Oryzias latipes: one gene and its partner. The protein of the gene in region 1 interacts with the protein of each later gene in a pairwise test. Links are inferred from orthologs where the notes say so. Each region holds a gene or a part of one and is shown in the gene's direction. Other genes may lie near its edges.

The links. The genes of interacting proteins can lie anywhere in the genome.
Region 2: the proteins of protein NPAT (region 1) and hinfp interact in a two-hybrid assay, tested with the Homo sapiens proteins (2 studies listed by BioGRID). The link is inferred for Oryzias latipes from reciprocal best matches to the Homo sapiens genes NPAT and HINFP.

The regions. Positions count from the first base shown.
Region 1 is NC_019871.2:24,856,330-24,866,662, reverse strand, and holds the end of protein NPAT, read left to right. Parts: intron 1-333; coding exon 334-1,644; intron 1,645-1,730; coding exon 1,731-1,831; intron 1,832-1,923; coding exon 1,924-2,011; intron 2,012-2,131; coding exon 2,132-3,432; intron 3,433-5,916; coding exon 5,917-5,997; 3' UTR 5,998-6,421; downstream 6,422-10,333. Other genes in the region: vmp1 (vacuole membrane protein 1), read left to right, coding at 8,089-8,167, 8,477-8,609, 8,900-8,990. UniProt on the Homo sapiens protein: Required for progression through the G1 and S phases of the cell cycle and for S phase entry. Activates transcription of the histone H2A, histone H2B, histone H3 and histone H4 genes in conjunction with MIZF.
Region 2 is NC_019872.2:15,191,320-15,201,801, reverse strand, and holds hinfp (histone H4 transcription factor), read left to right. Parts: upstream 1-4,475; 5' UTR 4,476-4,588; exon of another isoform or gene 4,589-4,676; 5' UTR 4,677-4,678; coding exon 4,679-4,826; intron 4,827-4,906; coding exon 4,907-5,133; intron 5,134-6,317; coding exon 6,318-6,429; intron 6,430-6,595; coding exon 6,596-6,748; intron 6,749-6,828; coding exon 6,829-6,906; intron 6,907-7,835; coding exon 7,836-7,956; intron 7,957-8,045; coding exon 8,046-8,184; intron 8,185-8,252; coding exon 8,253-8,377; intron 8,378-8,454; coding exon 8,455-8,794; 3' UTR 8,795-8,994; downstream 8,995-10,482. Other genes in the region: dpagt1 (UDP-N-acetylglucosamine--dolichyl-phosphate N-acetylglucosaminephosphotransferase), read left to right, coding at 328-474, 746-830, 940-1,128, 1,217-1,304, 1,754-1,906, 1,989-2,054; CUB and sushi domain-containing protein 1-like, read left to right, coding at 10,322-10,482. UniProt on the Homo sapiens protein: Transcriptional repressor that binds to the consensus sequence 5'-CGGACGTT-3' and to the RB1 promoter. Transcriptional activator that promotes histone H4 gene transcription at the G1/S phase transition in conjunction with NPAT.

The DNA.
Region 1 (10,333 bases):
AAGTTTAAAGCAGCTGCAGAAAATTTACAGAGGGTGAAGATAAAGTTTACCCTAAAAAGTAACGGGAAACTGAAGACTTAAAATAAAAAAGTCAGAGGGGCGGTCCTTAATAAAAATTGTCTAGCGTTAAACCAGTTCGTGGCCTGAAAAAAAGCTTAGAACCACTGATGTAAAAGATGATCTGATCTGAATGATGATGCGTTCCGTGGATGACATGGATAACGTCTGGTCACCGTCCGCGTGTTGTGCTTTAACAGCTTTATTTTATTCAGACCTTATATCTACACAGAAAAGATACATTTGATGTTACATTTCCATTTTTTCCCCCTAAAGATCCTGTGCAGCAATTACAAGAAAATCCTTCTGATTCCACACCAGTAACCCTGAAGATAAAAGCTGTACCGGAGCGTCAGACCAGGAAGTCCACCGCTTCTGTCTCATTGAAGAAAACCGTCATTGACTCTAGCGGAAGGTCATCCAGGATAGAAAACAGCTCGGCCAGGTTATTGGTGAGTCATGGAGAGCACAGAGCCTCCTCGTCTGCCACGCTGGATCCCAAAAGAAAAGAAAAGCCCTCGCACCAAAATAACAATGGCGGTGAGGTATCCATGGAGATTTCTGAGACGCCACTGCCCACGCTATCCCCCACTTTGGACAGTTTGGCCACTCGGGTTAACTCGGAGGAAACCATCCCTTCTTCAGGTGCCATTATTAATTCAACCTTAGTCTCTTCATCAGAAGACTCTGCGCTGCCAGAAGCTCTAAATGTGGACAAGAATCAAAGTCAGGGATCCAATAAAAAGAATCCTCCTCCTTGTCTAGCTGTAAATGACCAGCTTGTTGTAGTGTCTCCTTTGGGAGTTCAGGAGAACAACACCCAAAGTTCAAGTCTTCAGTCTTCTGTGTCAGTTTTAGGCATTGGAGGTGAAGCTTTGCCAGAATCTACGGTCTCAGTAATGTCTTTCTCTACCAGCTCTACTGCTACAAGTGCCTCCGCCTCTTTAGTTTCCATCCCTGTGCTTGGAGCAGCTACACCTGCCCTAACATCTGTAACCCCTGCACCCCAATCCAGCACTCTGTCCTCACCTCCCTCTGTTGTAGGGAGTTATTCAGCCACCAACCCTACAACCCCTATCAAAGCCACAGGAGATTCTAGCAATGTAGTGTCCTTAAAGATCATCATAAGCGATAACAAAGATGAGGATACTTCCAAAGATACCACCTTAAATCGAGCCATTTCAGGAATCTCGGTGGACAAGATTCCCACTATCTACCTTTCGTCTCCAGCCAAGTCACCCGGAGGACCTGGTACTCCAAAGGCCAACTTTGATGAGGCAGCACAGGCGGTCCGTGGCTTGCAAAGCTCTGAAGCATTTGGCAGTCCAGCCAGGTGTCGAGCTGGAGCGATATCCACGTCTCCATTTGGTAGAACGTCGCATCCCCAGCAAAGATATATAATTCAGTTGCCCGTGGATGCAGCTAAACCTGCCATCCAGGAGTCTCCTGCCAGCTATTTCCTTGTGACTCCAACAGCAGATGTTCAAGCGAAACAGGTGCAGCTTCCTTCCGATGTCTTAGGACAGCCTCTGACAGCCAGTCCGTTTGGGCTAACCACACCAGGACTTACCGAAAGCTTCTCCACAGGTGAGAGACAAAACACTCAAAGGAAGGTATCATTTTTTCCACGTTTGCTGTTGTCCTTGACTGTGTCTTGGATTTTCCATTTGCAGGGTCTACAATCATCTTGCCCTCCGCTGTAAACCCTGTGGTTCTTCCTGTTTCTGTGGTGGGCCAGAACCCCTTGGGAAATGTGCAGCTGGTGTCCAATCAGGTAAAGGAGATTCTCTGTTTTTGTTAGAAAGAATAACGTCTGCTCTCCCCATAGCTGCACGAGTCGGTCAAAATGCGTTTGTATACTTGCAGCTTGTTGACGTACCAAACCCCATCCCGGTTCAGTCAATGGAAACACTGAAGCCCGTGACGCTGGCAGCCAAACAGGCTCCAAATTCCGGTTAGTCAATCTTTCTGTTGTGTTTCCTCTTTTTCTGATGGAGACCTTAACTCTATTTAGGTTATGTTTTGTTGTGAAGATGGATCTGAATTTCAATAATTGTGTTTATTTGGATTACAGGCATGTCAGATAAAAGCAGGGAAGTTCAGCTTAAAACCACAAACCTGTTTGATGCAGCAACGGGTCCAAGTCACAAACGAATATTGTGTTTTGAATCTTCTTCTTCTTCGGAAACTCCACCATGCAATTCTAAAACTACTGAAACCATCAAGTCCATGGCTCCAAATCCGTCTGGATCTAAATCTATTCCATCAGCCGATAAGGACAAAAGACATCCAGTCACCAGAACGAAACCCAATATTTTGGGTGGCAATAAACCCAAAAGGAGAATAGAGCCTGTCCGATGTTCAGGAGGTTCTCAAACTGGAGTGGACTCATTAAATGCTACAGTTCCTGTTCAAAAACCACAGAAAGAGTCTTCAAAAAACACTTCTAACAGCCAGAAAGTTGGCATTCAGAACAAAGAGTTTCAAAGTTCAAGTTCTTCAAGTGTTTTGCAAACTGAGGCTTCGAAAAAGTCAGAATTAGGAGAACTGTCACAACCTAGTGATAAGAATGTTGCATCTGCAGAAGAAACAAAAGCAGAAACCGCTCGGAGTTCGAGGTCAACATCATCCGATGGATCGGAAAGTAGAAAGGACAGAGAAGACGGAAGGAAAGAGGCAGCCGGGAAATCCCGTGAGGGCCGAGCAGAGAAAAGGACTCCGTCACAAGAGATGCCACATGTCACGGCCAACAAGGAAAACGAAATGCAAGAACAGAAGCAGCAACAGGCGACGACGTCTACTTCCTCAGAGTCCAGAGACTTCAGCCCTCCAGCCGCCTCACCGCAGACACCAAACCCGCAACCCAAGGTTGCAAAGACTCCATCAAAGACCAGCTCTTTGGCCAAGCAGGCAGCTGAGATGCTGCAAGACTTTCAAGGACAGAGGAGCTTGTCCACTCCGAGTAAGAAATCTGGAACGGTCAGTTCCACCCCTGGTCTTTATGCGAGTGTCCATAGCCATGAGGTACCTGCCGACTGCCCCAGGACACCCTCCCACCCTAAAAAGGGTAAAGATATCGAAGGGACCCCCAAGCATCAGTTAACTCCTAGAACCCCTGATGTTCCGACCTGCAGCCCTGCCAGCGAAGCCGGCAGTGAGAACAGCATCAACATGGCAGCACACACGCTCATGATTCTGTCCCGGGCTGCCATCGCCAGAACCGGCACCCCACTGAAGGACAGCCTGCGCCAGGACGAGGCTGGACAGAAATCACCTGGAAGTTCAAAGAATAAGAAACGCAAAGCACCTTCACCAACAGAAACGCCCTCTTCAAAGAGAGAGCTGAAACAATCTCCCAGTAAAAAGAAAGACAGGGTGAGTATGTTACTCTAGTTTTCTGCATTCAGCCACCAAACATCTAAAAGGAGGACTGTTAGAATCATCTACGCTTAATAGTTTTGGGAGTTTGCTGTAGGGCTGTACGGTGGTGTAGTGGTAAGCGCTCTGGTCTCAGCGAGAAAGCCCCTGTTCAAATCCTGGATGGGTTCTTGTGTGGAGGTTGCATGTTCTCCCCGTGCATGCACAGGCTTTCTCCGGGAACTCCGGCTGCCTTCCACAGTCCAAAAACAGGCTTTGTAAGTTAAATTGGCCTTTAGTGATTGTGTGGCCCTGTGACAGACTGGCGACCTGAGATGGCTCCATCACCATGACTCCAAAAGGGATTCAGCTTGTTCTGGGGATGGATGGATGGATGGAGTTTGGTCTAAACTTGGTAGACAATTTTAGAATTTGCTGCCAAATATTTCTATGGTATTTGAAAGCAACAAACAAGCACATTTTAAAAAGGAAAAAGGAAAGATCCAAAAAGGAGCTGAAAAATGTAGACTTGAGTGGAAGGTGCTAGTTGTCCCTGTAACCCTTGTGCTATCCTAGGCACTATAACATTGGGAGTTGGGTCATCTAGACCCACTAGACAGTGCTCTGAACCTTTTTCCTTCAATGATTTGTGATCTTCCCTGGTGTCCATGAATTTCATGAAATCTTTCCACCTTTATCCACCTTTGTCATGGTAGGGAGAACACGTCAATGTAAGGGTGGGTTCATCTAAGATAGCATAAGGGTTAACTGGCATCTACATCAAGGAGAAGGTATTTTGAATATATTCTGTTCTAAATACCTCTTTTTCTGCTGAAAGTAGATCGTTTTTTGGTTTGGTCCAAATTCCCTCACTACTCGTCAGCATGTGCACTTTTTTAGTATGTCCGTTATTTTGTCTCAATATACAATTCCAAAGTCTTAGTGCCCTGGTAATTTCCCAGAAGTCTCTGTAAACACAAACCGTGTGCATCAATGCTCACTAGATTGGCAAATATTGACCACAATGCATTGTGTTTAAACAATTTTCCTCATCAGAACATAGTCATAAAATGTCTTTGTAATAACATGTCCAGGGTAGCTTGCCATCTCTCGGTGGGAGGAGTGTCCCTGCCCCAGGTGGAGGAGTTTAAATATCTGGAGGTATTGTTCACGAGTGAGGGAAGAGCGGAGCGTGAGATTGACAGGCGGATCGCAGCGGCGTCCGTAGTTATGCGGTCGCTGCATCGGTCCGTTGTGGTGAAGAGAGAGCTGAGCCGAAAAGCAAAGCTCTCAATTTACCGGTCGATCTTCATTCCAATACTTACACTATGGTCATGAGCTATGGGTCATGACCGAAAGAACGAGGTCCCGAATACAAGCGGCTGAAATGAGCTTCCTCCGTAGGGTGGCTGGGCGCTCCCTCAGAGATGGGGTGAGAAGCTCGGTCACCCGCAGAGAGCTCGGAGTAGAACCGCTTTTCCTCCACATCGAAAGGAGTCGGTTGAGGTGGCTCGGGCATCTAGTCTGGATGCCTCCTGGATGCCTCCCTGGAGAGGTGTTCCGGGCATGTCCCACTGGGCGGAGGCCCCGGGGAAGACCCAGGACACGCTGGAGAGACTACGTCTCTAGGCTGGCCTGGGAACGCCTCGAGGTACCCCCAGAGGAATTGGAGGAAGTGGCTGGGGCGAGGGAAGTCTAAGCATCTCTGCTTAGACTGCTGCCCCCGCGACCCGGTCCCGGATAAGCGGAGAAGATGGGTGGATGGATGGATAACATGTCCAGATTTATTAGCTGTTTAATTCATATTTGGTGTTTAAAACAAAATGTATTGATATCAAATGTGTTTGAATTTCATTAAAATCCAGGGTCCTACACTAAATAGTCTTTTGGGGGTGGGGTTAGACTTATTTGATCTAACTTTTTTTTTTTCCTTTCTAACTTGTCCTGTCCAACAGCTGAGCAGACAGATGAGAGCTGAAAGTTTATTGTGTTGGACATATTTTACTGTTATAATAGGGGTTATAAATCTTCTGACACACTAGGAATAAACCTCTTTTGTAATTTAGGCTAAACTTTATTCAACTTACTTGTATCTGTAACAGTCTTTTGTTGGACCTGACGGAAAAGAAAAGAAGGGAAGAAGAGAGAGAGGGATGACAAGGGGGGGGGGGGTTTAAAGAAGAGTGGGGTAGAACCGTGAAGCAGCATAAAGCCAGTCAGATTGAGTCACATTGAGGGTGTTTTGTCTTTCTTTCTTGCTGTATCTTGCTTCTCTTAAACTCCTGGGTTTAGGTCTGGAAAAACTCGTCACTAAGAAACATTTTGATTTTTTTTTTTCTAATTTACAAGAGATCCTGAGCATTAACTACATAAATGCTAATATTTCAAAAGAAAACGGTGTATGATTAGTCATTTTATGCTAATAGATTTTTATTTTATCAAAGTGAATGCTTGTTAATGTTTCTGCCAACTAACACCGCTTTGTTTTGTGCGTTTCTACAGGAAAGGAAAAAACTGATGGATTGCTTTCCCCATGATTTGGATGTGGATAAGTTTTTGTCTTCTCTTCACTATGATGAATAAAATGGAACAATCCGGCGGGACACCAGAAACCTACAAAACCACAACACTTTTTAAGTTAGAATTCAGGAAGACACAAAAACCATAGTCCAGCCTGTGTCCGCGGTTCTGCAATCTATGGTTCCTGACTCCAAATGACTCGTTCTGCCACGGCCAAGATGACTGTTTTACCGTGTTAATGATGTCAGACCAGCTAACTGTCTAAATACACCATTAAACTATTCCATCAATGTGTTTTTTCTAAAGCATGTAGCCACTGCAAAGTCCAGATCTAACAACAATTCATCTTCTGTGCTAGTCCATCATTCCTCACCAATACAGGATCTTAAGATGGGAGTTGAATATTGTTCCACTTTTTTGAAAACATGGGGAATTGGCACTAAAATAAATCAAAAGTATAAATAATAAAAGCTTAGTGTGTGTCGAATTGTATTTTTTCTTTACGATGTATGCAGCAGTAGCTGTGGCTTGTGTTTTAGTCTATTTTGTCAGTGTTCCATCATATCCATTTTTTGGGGGACTGACGTAAAGAATGAACATCTTTAACAGATGACGCATAACATTTCACTGGTCAATATTTGACTAACAGGATGGTTTGTCATACTTTTTGGCAAATCTTTCTTGCATTAATTTAAAAAAGTCTGGTCAAAAGTTCTTGAGTGTATTTGAAAAAGGTTTAATTATTTAAGGAATGTGAATAGCTTTGTAGTTTTTCTTTTTCTTCCTATCCTGTTATGTGTTTTTATTTTTGGCTTGTGAAATAAAAATACCTTAAATGCGATTTTATTTTTTTATTTGTAATACTATATGCAACAGTATGACCGCAGCAAACATTTTCTCTTGTAGGGATTTTGTCTTTTCTCAGCCCTTGAAGTTGGAATGGAGACTAAAGAGGTTTGTGGATGTAGAGGTGAGACATATGGATGAGGAGGGCGACCTCTAGGGTGAAATGAAGGAAGCTGGAAGGAGACTTGAGAGGAGAGTAGACTAAAAAGACACTGGTATGTTTTCAGTTCTGATTTTGACTGTTGGGGGGGGGGGGGGGGTAAATATTGTGGAAGAAAGGTCATTTGTTTATTACACTGCACTGTAGAAACAGACAATCAAAATACCTCCTTGCTCTAAAGATACGCAGAGTAAAAATAAGATAATTCCTGGGATAAGAAATCATTTAGCTTTTTTTTGTTTGCAGATGAATAACGATCATTTTGTACTAATCATTTCATGGTTCAGTTGTGCCGCCTGTTAAGTAATAAAAATGAACTTAAATAGCTTGTTGATTAAATATTGGTTGGGAACAAGTTGCCTAACAAACACTGAACAGTTGTTTTTCCACACTAAATGTATACATTGTTTTTGCCTTGTCATTATTATTAGGTCAAACTTGTAACATTTTGTTCTCGAACCTGGCGACCTCGGATTGGACCTCCGAACATCAATCTACGGAAATACGTCTCATAACTCTCCTTTCAAAACAAAATTCACCTCATTTGGTGTAGGCTAAAATTTTTATTTTATTTGTGCAAAATAAAACAAAACTAAGTCACCGATGATTGGTCAGATATTTTGAGACGATTGATAGCCTCACACTGACTTGATAACGTTATCTCCCTAAGTCTTTTGTGAGTTGAACAGGAACCTGTTTTCTTTTGACACGTGCTGAATTAAGTTCCGGGTGAAGAAGACAGGAAAGAGGTACGACAAGGATATTTTAACTAACCGCATAATTTTTATTATCTTAGTTAGCTTTTGTTTTTGTTTTATAATATTAGGATAAAAATATATGTTAATAAACAGCTTGTAGCTTTCGGATAGGTATCTTAAACTTGACTAAAAGCTCGTTTATTTTGGTACTAAAAACGCCGGTGTCTGTAGCTCAGCTGTAACATGTTAGCTAACCGGTTAGCGTGTGGAGGTTTATGATGACCAGGCATTTAGCTCCGTATCTTCTTACAGGATAATTTATAGACGGAGAACTTCTTCGGTTTACTGCGTACAGTTGGTGGTACTGTGGGACTCGTTTGAAGCCGAAATAAAAACTTGTCACCCTCTTTTCTTTTTGTCCAGGACGTGACCTGCTTGCCGGTGATTGACATGGCAGCTAATGGAGCGAACTGTGAACAGCCTCAGAGACGGACCGGGACTAAAGATAAACTCAATGGCAAGTCTGCAGGTGAGCTGGAAAACTTTGAAGTACTTGTAAAAAATATGAACCCTCCTCTGCTCTGTAATTCTTCTTTTAACGCATAAATGTTGACTAAATTGTCCTCTATGAACATTCCCATCAGTGAATGACACGTCACAAATGGTTGAGTTTGGGTTTCTGTTATTTATTGATGAGGAAAACGTGCCTCAGTTTAGGAGCAGGACTTGCGAGTTCCATGCACTATGCATTTAGAATTGGTGGTTACTGAGGATGTGAAACCCGCTGAACCAGTTGGGAATGCAAAATCTCCAATGAACTGTTGTCTTTGTTTGACAGAACTGTCGGTAAGAGAGAGGCGGCAGAAGGACAAAGAGGAGCGTCTTTCCCTGGTGTTGTGGAGAAGACCAGTAATCACTCTGCACTACTTTGTTCTGGAGACACTCATTAAACTAAAGGAGTTGACTTTTAAGTAAGAAATGGATCAGTTTTACACAGTTAAGGATTTAAAAAAAAAAAAGCAAAAACCTAGTGATGACTTTTTGTCTGGCTTGTCTTTTCTTAATTTTTGGGATATTTTAACACGATTTCTTTATTATGTGGGTTGTTTTTGAATAGCTTTAGATGATGAAAATAATAGAGGCTTACTTTTACAGTAGATTTGTCTTTTTAACATTCTTTAATGACATTTTAATGAATGAAAGTTTCCCTTTTTTCATCACCAATGGAATACATCAATCTTTTTTCCTTTTTCACACACAGGCTTTGGCAGCGGAGAGGCATAGTGTTCTTACTCCTGGTCTTATGTACTGTCTTCTATATTGCGTATTCCTCCGAGGGAACACACCAACATGTAAGGCTTTACTTATTTGTCTTTTAAATGTAACGATTAGACCCTGTTTACTCATCCATGACAGATTGAAGGTTAATGATAAACCAGATTTTATCGCTGAAAATCTGTGATGCAGAGCATTTGTGCTCAGATATGGAGCAGCCTGCACTGTTGTCATGTAACCCTTGATCTGACTGTCGGCTGGCTGAAAGTTCAGTTTACAGAAACGTCTTTGCAGCAAACGGTCACAGCTCGGTTAGAGCACCCCCATGCTTTTCTCTACACCAACTTCAATTTACAGAATACAAACCTGCAACAACATAAGTTTGACATGAACAGTACAAAAATATTTATGAAGTCTTTTACTAATATTCTCAATTTTTAGGGTTGTACTTTGTGTGATTTGAATAATGTTGCAAAAATATAAACTGACTTTTAGGCTTGGAATTTTCCAGCCACCCAACATGAAGACGAAAAACCTTTTCAGACAAACTTTGCATTTTGATAGTAATACATTTTTTTCCCTCTGTCCCTTTTTATGTTCTGAAGACCACAACACATTTTTGCATTTATATTTCTAACATCTAGAGTGATTTATGTTCTTAAAGCTTCATTTTCTAGACGAGGCCTGCTCATTCATGGTCCTTGCGATCTAGCACCCTGCTTTTTTTTCCCCATTTCTCCCTGCCCTGCGTGCTGCTGGTCACCTGACTCAGCTGTGTTCATTCACTCAACATGAGGAGGCACCTGATTGATCAAATCACCAGCAAGCAGGGCCTGGAGATCTGGAAAACAGACAATGGTTGTGTCGGAATTCCCTCACTACCTAGTGCACCATAAAGGACGTACCCCATTTTATCGGGATGCCCAAATCTACAATTCCAAAACCCAGTGGAAATTTCCCGAACGTTTCTGTGAAGAACCAGCGCGCACCAACGCTCACTGGAACAGCGAATATAGACTACAATGCATTGGGTTTGACCATTGGGCATCTGAAAAACATGTTTATAAATGTGTTTCTTATAAATTATCCAAATTTTCATCAGCAGTACACAGTGGATTCATAGATAGTCATAAAATGTTCATATTTATAAGGTTTTTATTTTGGGAAATTGGTGATGCCATATGTGACATTAAAAAAAAAAAGTTTAAAAAGCAGTGAGCGTTAAAATCCAGATGGTTCTGCATTATATAATCGTTTAGGTGTTGTGGAGAAGTGAGGGAACAGCCAAAGCGGTAAATCTCAAGGATCAGGAGTCTGCGGCCCTGTTGTAGATTTTATTTTTAAATCACAGAGGAAATCCAAACTGGGATGTAGATGTGACTGTGCCAGTGTCAAAGGTTACTCCCTTAAATAAAGGTGA
Region 2 (10,482 bases), on another chromosome or scaffold:
CTAGGTTAGTAATATTATTATTAGTTATTATTATTATAACTATTTTTGTTCTATGTATTATTATTTTTATATCCTAATTTTTTTGTATGTTATTATTACTATATACTGTTTCTTTCTCCAGTGCTTCCTCTTGGGGATCCATTGTTCTGGGGCACTACCAGCTCCGCCTGTAGAGGGTGCTGTTACTGTGGTCCCACTCTATAGCTGTAGATCGGGCCCTAAGCTTCTGTGTTGAGCGGGCGGTGTGGCAATTATCCCCTGTGGTCAGATCAATTGTAAAATATGGAAGTGCAGTCATAACATTTAGGTTTTTCTCATATTCTGCAGGGATCCTCTACTATGTCTACATGGGAATGCTTGCAGTTTTCTGCACAAATGCCATCAACATCTTAGCAGGCATCAACGGTATTGAGTCTGGTCAAGCTCTGTTTATCTCTGGCTCCATCATCATCTTCAATCTGCTAGAGCTCAGTGGTAGGGGGATGCTTTTCTCCTGTGGAAATTATAATTAAACTGTAATCCTCATTTGCTTGTTTTGTTTTTAAATATCTTACATTATCAAGTATAATTTATTTATACATTTCCACTTCTCATAAAAGAAGAAAGTTAAAATCAACCACTGTACATATAATCTGTTAAAATGTATAAAATAAATATCAAAATCAGAAAATTAAAATAAATAACCATAGTTTCTTTTTTTTAATTCTCCAAACATAAACCATATATTTTGGGTTTTCTTTATCAGGTGATTATCGCGACGACCATGTTTTCTCCCTGTACTTCATGATACCGTTTTTCTTCACTACCTTAGCCCTTTTGTACCACAACTGGTGAGTCGTACCGAAGCCGTTTTACCAAATCAGATTTCTGTGTTTGGAGGTCCAGATGGATATCAACGGCTCCTGAGTTAATTTGTCGACTTTCGCTTCATTTTGACAGGTACCCCTCATCCGTGTTTGTGGGAGACACTTTCTGCTACTTTGCCGGGATGACCTTCGCTGTTGTCGGTATCCTGGGACACTTCAGCAAGACGATGCTCCTCTTCTTCATCCCTCAAGTGATCAACTTTGTCTATTCCTTGCCTCAGCTTTTTCATATTATCCCTTGCCCCAGACATCGGCTCCCCAGGTTAGTTTTACTCTTTCATGTTCCTTTACATGTTAAATTATTCGTTTTCTTTTTTTGATAAGTACTTCTTTGTTCCTATTTCTGAAAGACTGAATCCAGAAACAGGAAAACTGGGAATGAGCTATTCAAAATTTAAACAGAAAGATCTCTCCAAGCTGGGAAACCTAATTTTAAAGGTGAGTCTTCTTTCTGCTTGTTCCTGTCTTGATACTCCTATATTTGGGTTGTGGAAGGTACAGAGAGCAGGTGTCTGAGCTGTTGCCCAGAAAATCCTTATGAGTGTTGCTCAGTTATTGCTGTGGACAGGAGGTGAATTGTTTCTGCTCTACTTCACCTGCTATGTTTGTGTGTGGTGTCAAAAAGCAGTGGGATTATTCAGTTACATGTTTGAAACACAGCACCAAAACACTCTCAGGAAATGAAAATCGGATGCAATAAAAACAGTTTTAAGGAGAACATGTTTGGTATCACAGATCGGTTTCTGACCTGATTTTAGACTCACTGACATGTTGTTTCCTTACATTATCAAAAGTGTGACTTTAATAAAGTAAAAGTTGGGATATTTATGCTCATGGTCTGTAGATGTTTTGGCTTTTCTGAAAATAATAGCATTGATTCCCATTAGGTAGCAGAGTTATTAAAGCTGCTGGAGGTGCGACGGGGGCAGGAGGGAGATGATTTTATTGAGTGCAACAACATGACTTTAATAAATCTAGTGATAAAGATCCTGGGACCCGTCCATGAGAGAAACCTCACAGTCATCATGCTCATCATACAGGTATGGAGGTGACCTGCTGCTCATGTTCTGCAAGATCTTTGATGAAAGTCACTTGACCTGCTCCTGTCTGTGTCCTCTGCAGGTGTTGGGCAGCGCAGTGGCTTTTGGGATACGTTATCATCTGGTGCGACTCTTCTATGATGTCTAGACGGTTCACAAAGAAACGGCAAAAAGCAAGCACACTGAGAAAACTTCATATGTTGTGAAACTATTGGAGGGCTTCTGGTTCATCTGTTTTGGATTGGACTCTGTTGCTGTTCTGCCGTTGACAGTAGTACATCCAGACATATAAGGGTCTCACATAAAGATTTGCACTGAGTTACAGTAAAAAACAATGCACTTGCCTATCCATCTGAAAAGTATATTTTCATACTTTTTAAGGACAGTTCAGTAAGTGGGGACAACTTTGTTCAATCCAGCTAAAATCTTTGGCTGAATTTGCTCTAATATTGTGATGATTTATAGAAAGAAGTTTTCTGAAAAGAAAATCAAACATACATGTGCAGCATGCTTTCACAGAGTCTTCTCCAGACGCAAAAGATCACAATAGTGGTCACTGTAAGAAAAAAGCCAATAAGCTTTTTGTGTTACTAGGTGGGCACAGGTAAATCCGGAGTGGGGATTAGTAAAACCTTTTTTAGGGTGAAGGGTGTTGAGACAAGTGAAATGAATGCAACTGTTCTGAATAAAACCCTTAATTATTGATTTGAAAACATGCTTTTCAATTGTTTCTCCTTATCATTTTTCAATAATTTTACATGCAATGCATCCAAGTGGCATCCAATGCCAATGGGAAGCCACTTGCACAAGTGTCCATCAAATGTGGGATATACCAAGGTGATGCTCTGTCCCCACTGCTGTTCTGCATAGGTTTGAACCCTCTCAGCCAAATAATCACCAAGACTGGCTATGGATACCGACTCAGAAATGAGTCCTACATCAGTCACCTCCTTTACATGCTACAAGCTAAGAGCAAGCGTGACATTGACTCGCTGATCCACACCACCAGGATCTACAGTACTGACATTGGGATGTCATTCGGGCTCGAGAAATGTAGCCGGATGGTGACAAAGGGAGGCAAGGTAGTCCACACAGGAGGGGTCTCACTCCCAGAAGGAACAATAGCAGACATCGAGGACAGTTACAAGTACCTTGGAATTCCACAGGCAAATGGCAACCTGGAGCAGGCAACAAGGAAAACTGCAACAGCTAAATACCTCCAACGAGTAAGGCAAGTCCTGAGAAGCCAGCTCAATGGCAAGAATAAGACCCAGGCAATAAACGCACTGCCAGTTATCAGATACCCTGCAGGAATAATAAGATGGACAAAGAAAGAGATACAGACCACGGATGTTAAGACACGAGAGCTCCTCACCATGCATGGAGGGTTCCATCCCAAATCCAGCACCCTGAGGCTGTATGCTAGCCGCAAGGAAGGAGGCCGAGGACTAGTGAGCGTAGAAGCCATTATCCAGGATGAAACATCCAAGATGCATGAGTACATCAAGCTCAAGGCCCCAACTGACAGTGTGCTCAGTGAATGTCTCAGGCAATGGAGAGCAGAGGATGCAGTGCTGGAGGACAGATCCTCATGAGAGGGCAAACCCCTGCATGGAATGTACCACCGGATCATAACTGAAGTGGCTGATATCAAGAAGTCCTATCAATGGCTAGAAAGGGCTGGCCTACAGGACAGCACTGAAGCACTCATCCAAGAAGCTCAGGAACAAGCCCTGACCACGCCCTGAGAATGAGAGGGCAAAGATCCTGTGGGACTTCCAGATCCAGACTGATAGGATGGTAATGGTGAACCAACCAGACATTGTAGTGGTGGATAAAGAACAGAGGAAAGCTGTTGTGGTGGATGTGCCAGAGCCAAGCGATGGGAACATCAGGAAGAAGGAACATGAGAAACTGGAGAAATACCAGGGACTCAGAGAAGAATTGGGGAACGCCTGGAAAGTGAAGGTGACAGTGGTGCCTGTGGTGATTGGAGCACTCCGGGCAGTAACCCCCAAGCTGGAGGAGTGGCTGCAACAGATACCTGGAAAGACCTCAGACCTCTCAGTCCAGAAAAGCGCAGTGCTAGGAACAGCTAAGATACTGCAGGACCCTCGAGCTCCCAGGCCTCTGGTGGAGGACCCGAGCTTGGAGGAGAAACCACCCGTGGAGGGTGAGAGGGGCGTTTTTATTTTTAAAGAGGGAGAGAGAGAGAGTCCGCATTTTTTTATCATGCAGATCACTGTCTGGCTTTATTTCTTTTGGTGGACTTTACATATAAGAATAATGAGGAAATTCTAACTATTGAAGCAACGGAGAAATGCATTTGACAGTTTTATAGAGGTAAGTGTGAGGCCTCTGATGTTTCCCAACTAAATCAGTCTTGTGTGCCTGTTGATTTTTATATATATATATATATATATATATATATATATATATATCTTTAGTAAACTAAGACTTGTAAGTTAGTTTTTACTCCTATACCTCCAATTAAAATAAATTAAATAATAATTAGATGTTTTGATAAAAGTCAAAAGAAAATAAACACGGTTGTGACGCGGAACTATACATTTACACTTTGTTTCTTCCGGACCAATGTGTCGCACTGAGTTCCGATACTGAAAGAACTCGTCTGTCATCCTCAAAACTGTGTTTGTAATCACTTTTATGAAGATATACCTGGTAAGGTAATTTAATAATGTGTCACTTTTTATCTTTTTAACGACGTTTGTTGCAACCTCGCGATATTTGGTGCATCTCTGACTTGTAGGGATGCCACTCGTTAAACGCGTGAAAAAGAAAACGCTTAAATTGGACTGTGAATGGGGCTCATGTCAGGAGACGTTCAGTCGAATTGAGAAGTTCTGCGAACACGCAGAAGCTCATCTGACCGCTCCGAGCATCGATGAAGATGCTGACGGTATGTTTAAGTCTACATGGAGTACTTGTTTACATTGAGAGTTTTGGTACTTATGTCATCTTTTTGCTTCTCTTGTGAAGAGGAGAGGAACTGTCTGTGGAGAGACTGTGGCTTCTGCACCGTGGAGGGATCCGGAGAGCTGCGGAGGCACGTCTTCTTTCACTGTTACCACACAAAGCTGAAGCAGATGGGTCAGCAGGTCCTCGATGCTCAGCCGGAAGTTGGCAATTGCTCCATCGCTCAGCACAACCGCAACATCATCCCCGAACTTCCAGACAACTTTGTCTGCCTCTGGGAGGAATGTGATGTAAGACCCACTGCGCTGATTCATTTTTAGGTCATGGTAATCAAGCCGTTTCAACCTCTGATTGGTACTATGGAGCTAGAAGTGTTTTCAGTTTCTCTGAGCCTTTGGTAGAGGTTGGAGAACTACATTGGTTCTGACCAACCAAGGAATGAAGATAAAATAATCTGTAATGGAGCAGATACAGAGGACAAAGGTGACATCAGGAGAAGAATAAAAGCCAGCTGCAGGGACGTTAAGGGTTACCTTGAGACGGGCTCCCTTTATCCCTTCCCAGTGTTAGTGAAGCCTCAGTGACAGTTGTTTGGGACTTTTGACCTAAAAGCCTTTAGGAGGGAACTCATCAATGCATTCTAAGTATGCGATAAAGGCAGGTTTATAACATACAATGTATATATTGACTGCAAAAAGAATTCATCAGCTACCCGGGGAAAATTTTCTTCAATTATTTTCCGTAAGGGTGACTACTGTTCCCCTTTAACATTTTATTTGTCGACATTAATGTTGTTAAAGACCCTCTTTAATCATCTTTTGATCTATTTTACAAACATTTCTAGTGGTCTTTCAGTCACGATTTTGCTGTTTTTAGCCAAAAACCTTTGTCGTTTTCAAGGACATAGTTTCAGCAGAGCAGCAGTAGTTCATTAGAAATTCACCTCTCTGAGATGTGGGCAACCCACCCACATCTGCCTACCCTGTTGCTGAGAGATCTCTGTTTACATGCTCTCTTGCTATCCTGCAGCCCCTCATACCCCCCCCCCCCAACCTAACATTACAGATACAACAAAAAGTGTGAGCAATATTGGAGCTATATGTCATCAATTATAAGAAAAATGCTGCAAGATCATGCTTAAAGAACGTTTCTGGTTATTGTATTGCAGATGAACAGCTGACTGTGTGAGGGCTTATTTTTTATTTATTTTTAAGTGAGGACATTGACTAAACCAGGGCTTATGAATCAGAGCCACAAGTGAACAAAATTACTCAGAAATGTAAATTTCCAGCATCTTATCACTTTGAAATATCGGTTAAACAGTTGGAATTTTTTTAATGCAACATCAAAAGTCTCCTTTTATAAAGGAAAAAAAAATCTGGTTGGCTATAAGTTACGATTATCCAATGCCTTTTTTTTTATAATGCTTTATAATGCTTTTTTTTCCATTTCCCGTGACCCGCATTGGTCAAAGCAACCGCCATATGAAAACCCAGAGTGGTTCTACCGTCACGTGGAGATGCATGGTCTGGCCATAGATATCCCACAAGGGGAGTGCGAGTTCCCCATACGCTGCAGATGGAAAGGTAAGAATATTGTAACATAGTGTAAACCTGTTTGCTTAACTGGAGTTTTTCAATAGATAGATAGATGGATAGATAGATAGATAGATAGATAGATAGATAGATAGATAGATAGATAGATAGATCTATTTAGAATGTGAAATGGTTAAGTGTTAGTCTTGTTGTTCAGATTGTGAAGCCACTGCAAAAGGGCGTCCCAAGCTGCGAGAACACCTACGCAGCCACACACAGGAGAAGCTGGTGGCCTGCCCAGGCTGTGGAGGGATGTACGCAAACAACACCAAATTCTTTGACCACATCATACGACAGAGTGCCATGGAAGGTGAGCTAAGCTATTTAGAAACTGGGTAGTTGGCAGCATGATCCCAACTTGCTTTCATTCTGTGCGTGGCTTTGTCGCAGGTCAGAGGTTCCAGTGTTCTCACTGTTTTAAACGGTTTGCAACAGAACGACTGCTGAGGGACCACATGAGGACTCACGGTAAGTTTCCGTTAGTCTGAGTCCTTAAGACAAGATCATTTTTCAACACTTGAGCTCAGTCACTAAAGTATATACTATAACATCTATTTATACCTATTTAGATCCTAAAACCTTTTTACATTTGACCAGAATTTTACTTAATAAAGATAAAAAGTAACACATTATTAAATTACCTTTACTTGCTTCTGTTTGATAATCAAGCGAATCATTTGTTCACACATTGAGTTCACTTTGATTCTCACCATACATCATTGTTTCTCTCCAATACATTTATGTATTTTGTACCCAGAAATTCTTTATTTTTAATCACATTATCTGACGTCACTGGTAGTTTTTATTTAGTCAATCAAAAATCTTTAAACCATAAATTTCTTAGAAAAATTAATTCTGTTACACTTTACTGTCATTTGTGTTTATCCTTGTCCAAAGTAAAAGTGGAACAGCATTTAAACTGACCTGCTGAGTTTTGTTCTCACTACTGTCCTCAATAAATTGTCACGAATAAAAATCAAAAGCTCCACAGCTGCATTCTGTAGAATGAAAGAAACTGCATCCACTGTTGCCAGGAAAAAAAGCTGAAAAGGGTGCTTCTTTTTTTACAGCTAAAGTCACACTTTTTGAGCATCTACATAAATCCAAAAATTCCTGATGGCCCTGTTGGCAAACACCACAACAGATGCCAGTCCCATGAATTGAACACAGAAGTTCTACTTTCTCCCTATAGCCTGTTTATATAGTTCCTGACATCCGTGGTTCTAAGCACCTTCCAGAAGAATCTAAATTGAAACAAGGTCAAGGCAAGAATTCAGTTTTGGACCGTAAATCCTATTGGAAACATGTATCAGGCTGTTAAAACCAGACAAGCCATCGCCTTCAAAAGCATCCATATATTAATTGTAGTTTTGATTTGTCTCTCATTTATGGAACAGTGAGTCACTACAAGTGTCCCTTATGCGATATGACCTGCCCAACGCCGTCGGCTCTCCGCAGCCACATCAAGTTCCGCCACAGTAACGAGAAACCATACAGCTGCGACTACTGTGAATACAGGTATCGCCTGCTATGTGGCTGTTTACATGAAGGAGAAGAGAGGGCTTTTAGATGTACAGTTGAAATTTTTATTTTTATTTCAATTGCAGCTGTAAGAACCTAATCGACCTGCGCAAACACTTGGACACTCACAGCAGTGATCCGGCGTTCCGTTGTGACTTTCCCGGCTGTAGTTTCGCCTCCCGTAATCTTGGCACCATGAAGATCCACTACAAAAAAGAGCATGAGGTTGTGTGGTTACATGTTTTTATCCTCTTCAATTTGCATTTAAATAACTCTGTTTGTTCCTCATGAAGGGGACTTTTACAGCTCGTTACAAATGTCACGTGTGCGGCCAGTGCTTCACTAGAGGCAATAGCCTCACTGTTCATCTGCACAAGAAGCACCAGTTCAAATGGCCTTCTGGACATCCCAGGTTCAGGTCTGTTTCTAACTTGCATCAATGTAAATAATATGCCTGCTTTTGGTGTTTATGGGTGTTTTTCACTGTTGTTTCAGGTACAAAGAGCACGAGGATGGTTTCATGCGACTGCAGCTGATTCGCTATGAGAGCGTGGAGCTGACGGAGCAGCTGATGCGGGAAAGGCAAAAGCGGCAAACAGAGGAGGACACTGGCAGCGAGCACGCTGAAGATCAGGAGCTGGAGGAAGAACCCATGGCAGCTTCAGAGGTGCAGGTTGAATTAAGAGGGGTGCTGCTGGAGGAGAAGAGGAATGAGGAGCTGAACGTTGGTGCAGAAGAAGGTGTGCAGGAAGAGGGTGTGTTATACGTCCTCTCAGAGGGAGAAAGCTCTGTTCTGCTGGAGCTCCAGGACACCACACAGCAGCAACAGATGTAGGTGGACAATCTTGATGCAAACAGACGTTGGTAAAGCTGTACTGTATAGAGAATTTATGGAAGAACACTTTTTGTATTATTTTGCTTACTAATTTAGAGTATAGTGGCAAGTGTTGTTAAACTCTTGTATTCAGTGTGTGAGTTATTTTCTTTTTTCTTTTTTTTGGAGAGAAACTACAGAATAAAAAATAAAAAAACATATTTGTCGACAAATGCTTAAATGACAAACAGTACGCACATTAAAGTACAGTACAGACCAAAGGTTTGGACACACCTTCTCATTTAAATGAATGGGAAGGTGTGTCCAAACTTTTGGTCTGTACTGTATGTGTTGAGTGTTGGTGGATCTGGTGTACTCGTCAAAATTCAGTGTTCAGTAGTTTCATCTTTTTATTTTCCCATATCAAGTTTTATTTGGTCTAATGGCTGAAGTTGGAGAATCTTTAAAGTTATTTACCCCAAATTTTCACTCTGTCTTTGACCCTAAGCAGTAGGCGGCAGTCACAGCCACGCTGTGGTGGTTTAACCCTCACAACCAACGCTCTAACCCTGAGCATCAAGCAGGGAGGTAATTCTTTTAAAGTCCCCTTGGTATGACCTGACCCTGGATTTGAACCCCAGACATCCTATTTTATTGCATTGTAATCATGTTTCCTCTACAGTATAAATAAAATAGTTTACAATTAATACATATGACAGACTCTCAACTTTTCACTGTGTAAACCCCCTGAGTTAATCTATAACAGGCTCTAAATCCTTCTCCACGCAACCACACAGATTAAGAAAAGTAGATTTAAAAATGTAAATAAGTAAAATGTAAGTAAATACATACGACTGACTGAATGCATGGATTCATCTCTGAAAACAAATGACATTTTTATAAAGAACAGACGCCTGTTGATTGGTAAATTGACTCAGCCAATCAGTGATTTCACTTTAATGCAATGACTTTTCTAGGATTCCAAGGGGGCTTCTATGGGTATATTTTCATTTTGCGTTAGTCGAGAAGCTTTTGGATTCAAAAAACGAAAAATGAAATCCTGGCAAGGCCAAGTATAAATGCTGCAAAACCGAATTATGGTAGATAATTTACATTAAGGTAATTATGATGATTTTTTTCTCTGTGTTTATCTTTGATTTCATAACTAGTATACAAAAAGCTTGTTGTAAAGGAGTTAGTTTATTGTGTTCAGCTGCTCCTTTAGTGTTTCTTTTTTGTACAAACTAAAGTTTGCCCTTATTCATTCATTCATTCATTCATTCATCTTTTAAGCTGTTTTGTCTCTTTTGGGGTCACGGGGCTGCCGGACAGTTCGCCAGTCTGTCACAGTTTACCTGTATGTTTTCTTAAAACCGGTATTGAACTTTGAACTGGAGCTCAAACATTATAATGCATTTTTTCCTGGATGTATTTGACATTTCTTGCTAAATAATTAAGATATCATTTTTTGGATGCTGGGTTGTGTGATTTGAACCATAAGAAAACGTTTTATAAAGTGGCGCCCTGTCCCAGCAGGATGCAGTACACATGATTAGCCGCAGATTAGGCAGCACACACAGCTTAGTGCTCTCTTATTCTGTTGCCAACTCCCAAATGCACAAGCACATTTTCTGCAGAGAGTCATGGCAGCAAATGATATTCAGCCTGCTGCTCCTGCTGATGTTTGTCCAGAGAGGAATTTCTCAGTT